Oryzias latipes: one gene and its partner. The main gene of each other region encodes a partner of the protein of the gene in region 2 in a complex. Links are inferred from orthologs where the notes say so. Each region holds a gene or a part of one and is shown on either strand. Other genes may lie near its edges. The genes, in order: partitioning defective 6 homolog alpha and llgl1.

Region 1 (3,821 bases), on a different chromosome or scaffold from region 2:
CATTGCTGTCTGCTGATTTCAGCAGCTGGAAATGGAACAAACATTCAGATTTCTATTAAAAAAACTGCACCCCAGCACCCAGTTCCCCCCCACCCCCATCTGCTGCCCTCTGATTGGTTGACAGGCCTGTCATTCTTCAAAATGAAGCCTTAGATTTGGAGGGAAAACCGACAGTAGTTTGACAGAAATCAAAGATTCAATAAATAGGAAAGACTTGTTTCCTGAAAAATTATTCAGATTCTATTTTGAGGACTTTTCAAATGTTGTAAATAACAAATATTTCTTTATGCCTGCTATAAAAAAGGGTAAAATTCACACTTTGTAACAAATAAGTTCAAAGACGACACAGCTGTCCTGGATATTATTATAATCAAAGCTTAAAAAGACTGATCAGGTTTACTTTTCTATAATCCACTTTAGCACAGCTGCATATTATAAGTTTCTTACCAATTCAAATATTATTCCTGTATTTTCGTAGAATGAAAGTTATTTATTTTTACCATCAATGCTTTGTAATTTGGGGGCTTTTAGGGCAGAAAAAAAAGCAGTTTCTTCTGTGTTCCTGGAACATTTAGGAAGACAGAGCAGATCATGTGTCTTCTAATGCTTTGCAGTAATTCTGCATGTCTGATCCTACGTCCTGGTCAGTCCTATTCATAAAACATCTTAGAGTTGTGAAGAAATGCTCAGTTGAAGCCTCAGTGGGAAAAGAAGCCATAATAGAGCATAGATGGGGATGGTTTGCATTTATTTCTTAGGCTGGTTAGTCAGAGAAATCAGACCGACGCGTGAACGCAGCATCAGTCAGGTTCTATAACTGCACCAAAGCAGTGGATCTACTGTTGGTTGAAGCAGTGACTTCATCTGAACTAATCACTGTCAGTGTTTGACCTTTACCTGATGCTCCTCTTCCTCGGCAGTTTGACGCAGAATATCGCCGGTTTGGTTTGAAGAGGAGTGGACCGGGAAACTTCCAGGAGTTCTACCGCTTCCTCCAGAACATCCACCACATCCGTGGGATGGATGTGCTGCTGGGCTACGCAGACATCCACGGGGACCTCCTGCCCATCAACAACGACGAGAACTTCTACAAAGCTGTGTCCTCTGCCAATCCACTGCTGCGGATTGTCATATCCAAGAAAGGTAAGAACTCTGGGAAGGTGGGAACCCCCATACCCAGAATGCAGCAGCAGAGGAAGAACGAGTCCACACAAACAGGTCAAATCTGCAGGTTCCTGGTGTCACTAACATCAGAGGTTGAAACTTCTAGTGCCACAGAATGACAAAAACTGCTCCCGTAGAAATGTAAGGATTGAAAGCCAGTTTCACCAAAAGAAAACCAGAATCGGTTTTGGTTCTTCTGGTCCATTTCAGAAGCTGCAGAGCTGCTCCCGTCTTTGCAAACAGATTTTTTTTTACCACAGCTGTATTTAGGGATCTACCTGCTGGAGAAGCTCTCATCTTAAGTTAATCACACATGTGTGTCACATAGCAGCCAGGACTGACGCTCAATAAGTTCTTTATTGTGTAAATAAATGGTTAAAACTATATATATATCACTGTATTTTACATACCTGTAGCGCTTTACTATCTTTTTAGAAGGCCCAGAGCGCTGTACAGTCACAGTCCCATTCATACATTGATGACGGCTCCACTGCTAAACTCTGGCACCATCCAATAACCACCAGGAGCAATGGGGGGCTCAGTGCCTTGCCCAAGGACACTTCAACACATGGGTGGGCAGGAAGGGAACCAAACCTGTGATCTTCCTAAAAGGAGTCGATGAAGTTAAAGTGAATTTCTTTTTTTTTTTTAAGTTGGAAGTGAACTTATATCTTGTTTTTAGAATGTCTAGTAAATCCACCCCACAGTTTTAATGGAGCCCATGTCCTGGATTAAGTGCATCACAATAGTAAACTCTGGACGTCTTATAATTAAGTTCTACCCCACAGACATTTAAAAAGGGATCCCGTGTTTTCTGCAGCAGGATCTATTGGGATGGCTGGAAATGTTGTCTTGAATGTTGTTTTTGCTGAGCAGAAGTCCCGGTCTGTCTCCTCCCAGAGCTACACCTACTGTAGCTCTGTTTTCATCAACAAGGCAATTTTAGCTTCATAAACTGTGGACAGTTGCATCTATATCTGTTTCTGTGTTTAGGTCTCAAAGGTTTAGTAAAAAGGTTTTTACCAAATTTTAAACTAGCCAGGAGGAGAAGAAAAGACCCCCGTCACATCACTGAGCTGGGATGTAAAGCGCTAATAAAGTCAGGACTTCTAAAGGGGTAAAGCTAAGGAGCAGATTCACACAGCACTGATTTCTGCTTTCAGCTGCTGAGTCTGTGAGGTTTAAATCCAGCTTCTGCAGGTCTTTGAGAAGGTTTAGGAGAAACCAGTCTGCTGTGGATGACATCATTACACAGCTATTCACATTCAGCCAGAAGGTCTCATAGCTGTCAAGGTAGATGTTTTTAGACTGTTCTAAATAAAGTCTGCGCATTCCAAGAATGTGGTTTATCCACATGGTATGAAGTATGGAATGAAGGTGAGGATGGTGGCCTGCATGCAAACACAGTGAGTTCAATGGTCTCTATAGAAGTGGACAGAGCCGGTGTGACGTCACCTGATGCTTTACCTCCAGCTCTGTCACCATGTTGAAGCCAAATGACAGTAATGGGTCTGAGTCAATGTTTCTATAGCAACTACTGGTGCCAATCACAAGTATGTTTGTTAAAAGCCCCCACCTCATCTGTTTGATCAAGCAGATGAGGTGTGGGCCAGTGTACATCTGTTTGGATGGTGGGAGGAAGCTGGAGTCCCCCCACATGCTAACTCCACACAGAAGGGCCCCCCATTGGTGTTCTGGTTCAGTTGGGACTTGAACCAGGGGCCTCCTTGCTGTGAGGCAAGCGGGCTAACCACTGCACCACCATGCAGCCCTTAAAAACATATAATGGGGAAAAAATATAGGATTATGTAGCAAGAATGTCTATTGTGACCAATAGAATGACAGAGTAACAGCTGTTTCTGCATCTCTCTATAGAGGTCTATAGGATTCTGGCTTATTGCAGCCAGCGGGTACTTCCTGTTTGGAACACGCGGGGGGAGGAGTACCTCAGTCCAGCTCTCTATATACAGTCACCTTGGGGTAAACAAAGGTCAGGTTTTTGCTTCACTGTCGACCTCTTCATTACCTCTGGGGCTCCCAGCCTAAGCGCTGCAGGCCACGCCCCTCGTGGTTACAGCTCTCTGTTGTTCTGGACTCGTGGCTCGGTTGTTTGCGTTGACGAGGAGAAGCCTTGCTTGTTTCAGGGATGCTGCATATAAACAGAACAGGAAGTAGCCACCGTTTATATTAGTTATATAATTCACTCATGGATCGGATAAGCACTTTGTTTTCCCCCTGAGAGGAAAACCTTTGCTGATGAGAGTCACGTTTGCTGTCGGCTTCCAGCTGTTTATTGAGGAGCTGCTGTTCAGTGAAGGACCAGAGACACTCAGGAACATGACACCCATCCACACCAGGAGCACAGACACATTTGTAGACTTCTGCACACAGACATTTGTCTGTGTGTTGGGTTTTTTCCGGGGGGGGGGGCATGGATTTAGAGGTAAACGCTGGATAAAACAGACTTTAAACGTAGTGACCTGAGAGCAGTCTGTGCAAGGAGGACGGAGCTGCCACTCGGCCAGGACAGACAGATTAAAGCTCAATCTGAGCAGGAGGCGGTTGTTGGGATGACAGGCCTCTAAATCCCTTTCTAATCAGGTTTTCTCTGCTCAGGGAAAAGAAAATGTTTGTCCTGATTTACATTTAAAGTTATT
Region 2 (3,821 bases):
AAAGGCTCTTCATCCCACATTCCTGAACACGCAGCTCTGTTACCACAGGATACACAACATGTATATGTGCGAGTTAGGAGGGTAAGGCGGAGCGTCGAGTGTGAAGAGGAGGATGAAGGAAATATGAAAACAAGCCATAAAAATCTGCTGGACATCATTCATTTGGTTCCGTTTCTTTGTCTTTGCTGAAACCAGTTTGCTCGGTCTGACTTTATCGGCTTGCTTTAAAATAAAAACTCTCCATGTAAAAAAAAAAAATGAAAGGAGAATTACAAGGCAGTTTATTCAGTTTCAAGTTTAAATAATGAGAACAATAAAGTGGGCTTGTTTGAGATTCAAACACATGAAAACCGTCTGAGGCGTTTCAGGATTCATCCCAGCAGGGAGTCAAACACGCCTGAACTGCGGAAGGAGAACTCGACTGTTTACCTTCCTAAAGGGAGGCCACTCCTCCTCCTCCTCCTCCTCCTGCTGCTGCTGCATTTCTGGGTCATCGCAGGGGTCGTGGGGATCATCGATCGGGTCGCCGTCTGTGTGGAAGACGTTGGCCGTGCTGAGTTTGTACAGTGGAGTCAGAGCAACACCTGAGGCGTCCCAGAAACGAACAGTGCCGTCCTCGTGCCTGCAAGAAGCAGATTTTAGCCCCGGACTGTCCAGTCATGACTCAGCAGATCTGCCTCAATATCTGATTTTGGTAAAGGTCTCATGTTTGAGGTTTCTCATCTAATAGATCAGTGCTACTTTCAATTTAAAAAAATAAATAAGATTTTTTCAAAATAGCAGAGGTTAAACTATTTGACAAAATGATCTCAAACGTCTGCACTTAATTGTAATCTAGTCCATCACCACATCAAATGACGAATATGTTTGTGTGAAAAAAGTCTTTTTTACTTTTGGAGCTTCAAATTTCTTCAAAAAAATTTGATTTCGAACAGAAACGTAGGGTCTAAGCGGCTAAGATGAGTGAGCGTGTGTGCGGACCAACCCTGTCAGCAGCAGCTCCTGTTGTCTGGGTGGGGGTGCCAGGTTCTTCCCTCCACATATTGGCCATTTCTAGACAAACAGAAATTAGGGATTTTATAAGCAGCAGGAGAAATTTACGTGCGACTAAACCAATTTTCGGCTAATATTTACTACGGATGCCGCAATTCTTGAAGCCTACTTTTTACGCCATTGAACCAAATTGTAGGAAAAGTGAATTGTTGCCTCTCTACTGCATTCGTTTGCACAAGTTTATAATGAAAGTGTCAAACACGTGTTGTGCTAAAGTTAATACATTTAATGTTGTTTCATAACAATTGAAACGTTTCTCTTCATTGTCACTTGCTTATTAGGCAATGTGAAAAATAATTTTACTGACTTTTTTAATGTTTTGTCTTACAGAACTCGTATATCGAACGGAAACAAAACTGTGACCCAAAAATCGAGATTTTAACGGAATCATGGGAAAAGTGAATCATAGAATCCCCAGGATTTATTATTCGGCTAACATACTAACTCGCCAATTTTGAAAAACTTCTCAAAACCAATATGGCACTTACCGATATTCTTTTCCCCCTTTCAATTGTATTAACCTTTTACTTTTAAACGTTTAAGAATGGCGCCTTATTTGACTGCTGTAATTTTAAAGTACCATATAAATTAATTTGAGCCAAACAGAGTTGAATATACAGAGAGAAAAAAACAAAAAGAAAAAAAAATTACCATCATCTCTAATCAACCTACGTCACAGAGGTCATCCTCTTTACTAAACACCACTTAGGCACTCTGGGCTCCTTGTGCAAGCCTACCTTGTGTAGATATCAAAAACCGTGGTCTAATATTTGACCAATTAATGTCTTTCAAAAATCATTTTTATCACCTAATTAACAGGTCTAAACTAAGTAAATTGGGAACTAAAGATGACTTGCATTATTGTAATTCATGCTTGTATCTAATATTGTTTAGATTACTGTTATTTCTCTTTTTGCTTGTTTTGATTAATTCAACTGTTGGTACTAAATGCTGCTTGAAAGCTTTTAACAGGAACCAGTAAAAAGGGCTCATTTCATCAGTTTTAAATGCTTTTCATTCTATCCATTTTAGGATTGATTTTACAATTTTAGTTTTGATTCGTAGAGCTCTTAATGAGCAGGCCCCTAATTATGTTTCCTAACTCTTGGTACCACATCTCCAGTCGTCCTCTTTGGTCCTCTGGTCCTACGTAAGGTCCCCAAGACTCTGTAAAAAACTTGAGGTGGCCTCGCGTTTCAAGCAGTAGGATGCCTTGCCCTGATTGTGACCGACAATCAGGGCAAGGCGTATTGGAGTGTAATTTAATGGCCTGAGGGCTTCAGAAAAGGCTTCCTGGGAAACGTCTTGGGACATGGCTTTGTTTTTTAAGAAGTTTTTGTTATTGGTCGGGATCATCAAGGAATATTACTAGAGCACAGAGAGATGCAATTTGGAGAGTAGGTCAACATTTCAGACGCACTCCACGCTGGGAGAAGAATAACACGTTTTAGTTAGTTTAGTTTAGCAATTAGCTAATGTTCATATTTTATGACTGATTTTATGTTTTTGAACAATTATTGGTGTCAACCCCGTCAAAACAACTGTGATTTTGGGCTATATAAATAAAATTGAATGGAACTTATGAATGTAGCAGCGGTTTGTGTGTAATCTGTGTCTAATCAAACAGTTGACGTAAGCTTAAAGACTTGGTAGTATTCAGACAACTTACATCTGCGCTATAAATTCAAACCCTCAGGTCACGTTAATGTGGCTTCATTTTAAGAAGCTGAGAAACTCAGATCAACCAGTTCATGGATTGAAAGCAGTTCTTTTGGATTCTAGTTCTATCTAAAAATAAATGATTTGTTAGTTGACTTACATAAGAAGAATGTATAGAAGCAGAAAGGTCACAAACCATACTGTGTTTAAAAATGTTAAGCCTCTTGCATTGTAAAGAGGAAACTGAATACCTGTTTAAACCGATTTACAAACTAATCCTGACTTTGGCTGATAGACGTTCCTTTGGCTGTTCTCACTCTGTGTGTGTGGCGCCGGCTCTGTTGTGCTTTGCCGGCGTTGATCAGCCGCTCCCACAGCTTGGTGGAGACGTTTGTGACGTGACAGGAGCACGTGATAGCTGACGAGTGAAGGGGAGCGAGGTAAGGAGTGGGCAGCGAGGGCCAACCGGGGGTCAGCAGGTCAATCACAACCAGCTCCTCCTCCAGAAGCACAACGAGAGCCGATGGGTCGTCAAACTCTGAGGGCGGGAAGACAGAAGGCAGGACATTTAAGATCCAAAACAGAATAAAAGTGAAAGGATTTATATCTGCTTGGATTCTTACCTTTGTCGTTGTCCATGTTGTGGACAGTAAAGAAATCGATCACTCGAGATGTGAAGTCCAGAGTGACATGCTCTTTGTCCTGCTGGATGGTTAGACAGTGACGGTCTCCATAGCTGGCTCGTGGCATTCCTCCACTATATAAGATCACCGGGGAACTAGAGAGAAGCAGAGGACCCTATTTGCAGAGGTATTCAGTCTTTTCTATTCAAACTGATCCAATTGTATTCCAGATATTTGTAAACTTAAGCAAATCTGTTTCTCAGAGCAGAGGATAATGGGTACAATCTCAGACAAAGTTTATTTAAAGACCCACTTTGGTGAAAATGGTGTTATTAACATTCTTCTGGCCTTTTCCTGACGATGGAAGACATATATACAGGAAATTAAGCTCAAAATGTTATTTTTTTTATTCAAATTGTAGTGAATAAAAAAAAAATGCTGTTAGAAAAAGATTGTATATGTGATGCAGAACATTGCTCTACATCA

What was found.
Region 1: the proteins of llgl1 (region 2) and partitioning defective 6 homolog alpha are in contact, whole or in part, in a cryo-EM structure (PDB 8R3Y), measured with the Homo sapiens proteins. The link is inferred for Oryzias latipes from reciprocal best matches to the Homo sapiens genes LLGL1 and PARD6A. Residues at the interface, in NP_004131.4 of Homo sapiens: Lys657, Leu660, Arg665, Thr704, Pro705, Val706, Gln707, Arg708, Arg709, Ile710, Glu711, Pro712, Arg713, Met785, His786, Glu831, Thr850, Ala851, His852, Glu853, Gly854, Cys855, Arg856, Leu884, Lys906; in NP_058644.1 of Homo sapiens: His163, Leu169, Phe171, Tyr172, Ile173, Arg174, Asp175, Ser195, Arg196, Ile221, Lys226, Thr227, Leu228, Asp229, Gln230, Thr232, Asp233, Met234, Met235, Val236, Ala237, Ser239, His240.

Annotation. Positions count from the first base shown.
Region 1 is NC_019864.2:4,763,712-4,767,532, forward strand, and holds part of partitioning defective 6 homolog alpha, read left to right. Parts: intron 1-920; coding exon 921-1,143; intron 1,144-3,821. UniProt on the Homo sapiens protein: Adapter protein involved in asymmetrical cell division and cell polarization processes. Probably involved in the formation of epithelial tight junctions.
Region 2 is NC_019866.2:18,056,412-18,060,232, reverse strand, and holds part of llgl1 (lethal(2) giant larvae protein homolog 1), read right to left. Parts: intron 3,491-3,821; coding exon 3,336-3,490; intron 3,251-3,335; coding exon 3,030-3,250; intron 1,054-3,029; coding exon 986-1,053; intron 623-985; coding exon 430-622; intron 1-429. UniProt on the Homo sapiens protein: Cortical cytoskeleton protein found in a complex involved in maintaining cell polarity and epithelial integrity. Involved in the regulation of mitotic spindle orientation, proliferation, differentiation and tissue organization of neuroepithelial cells.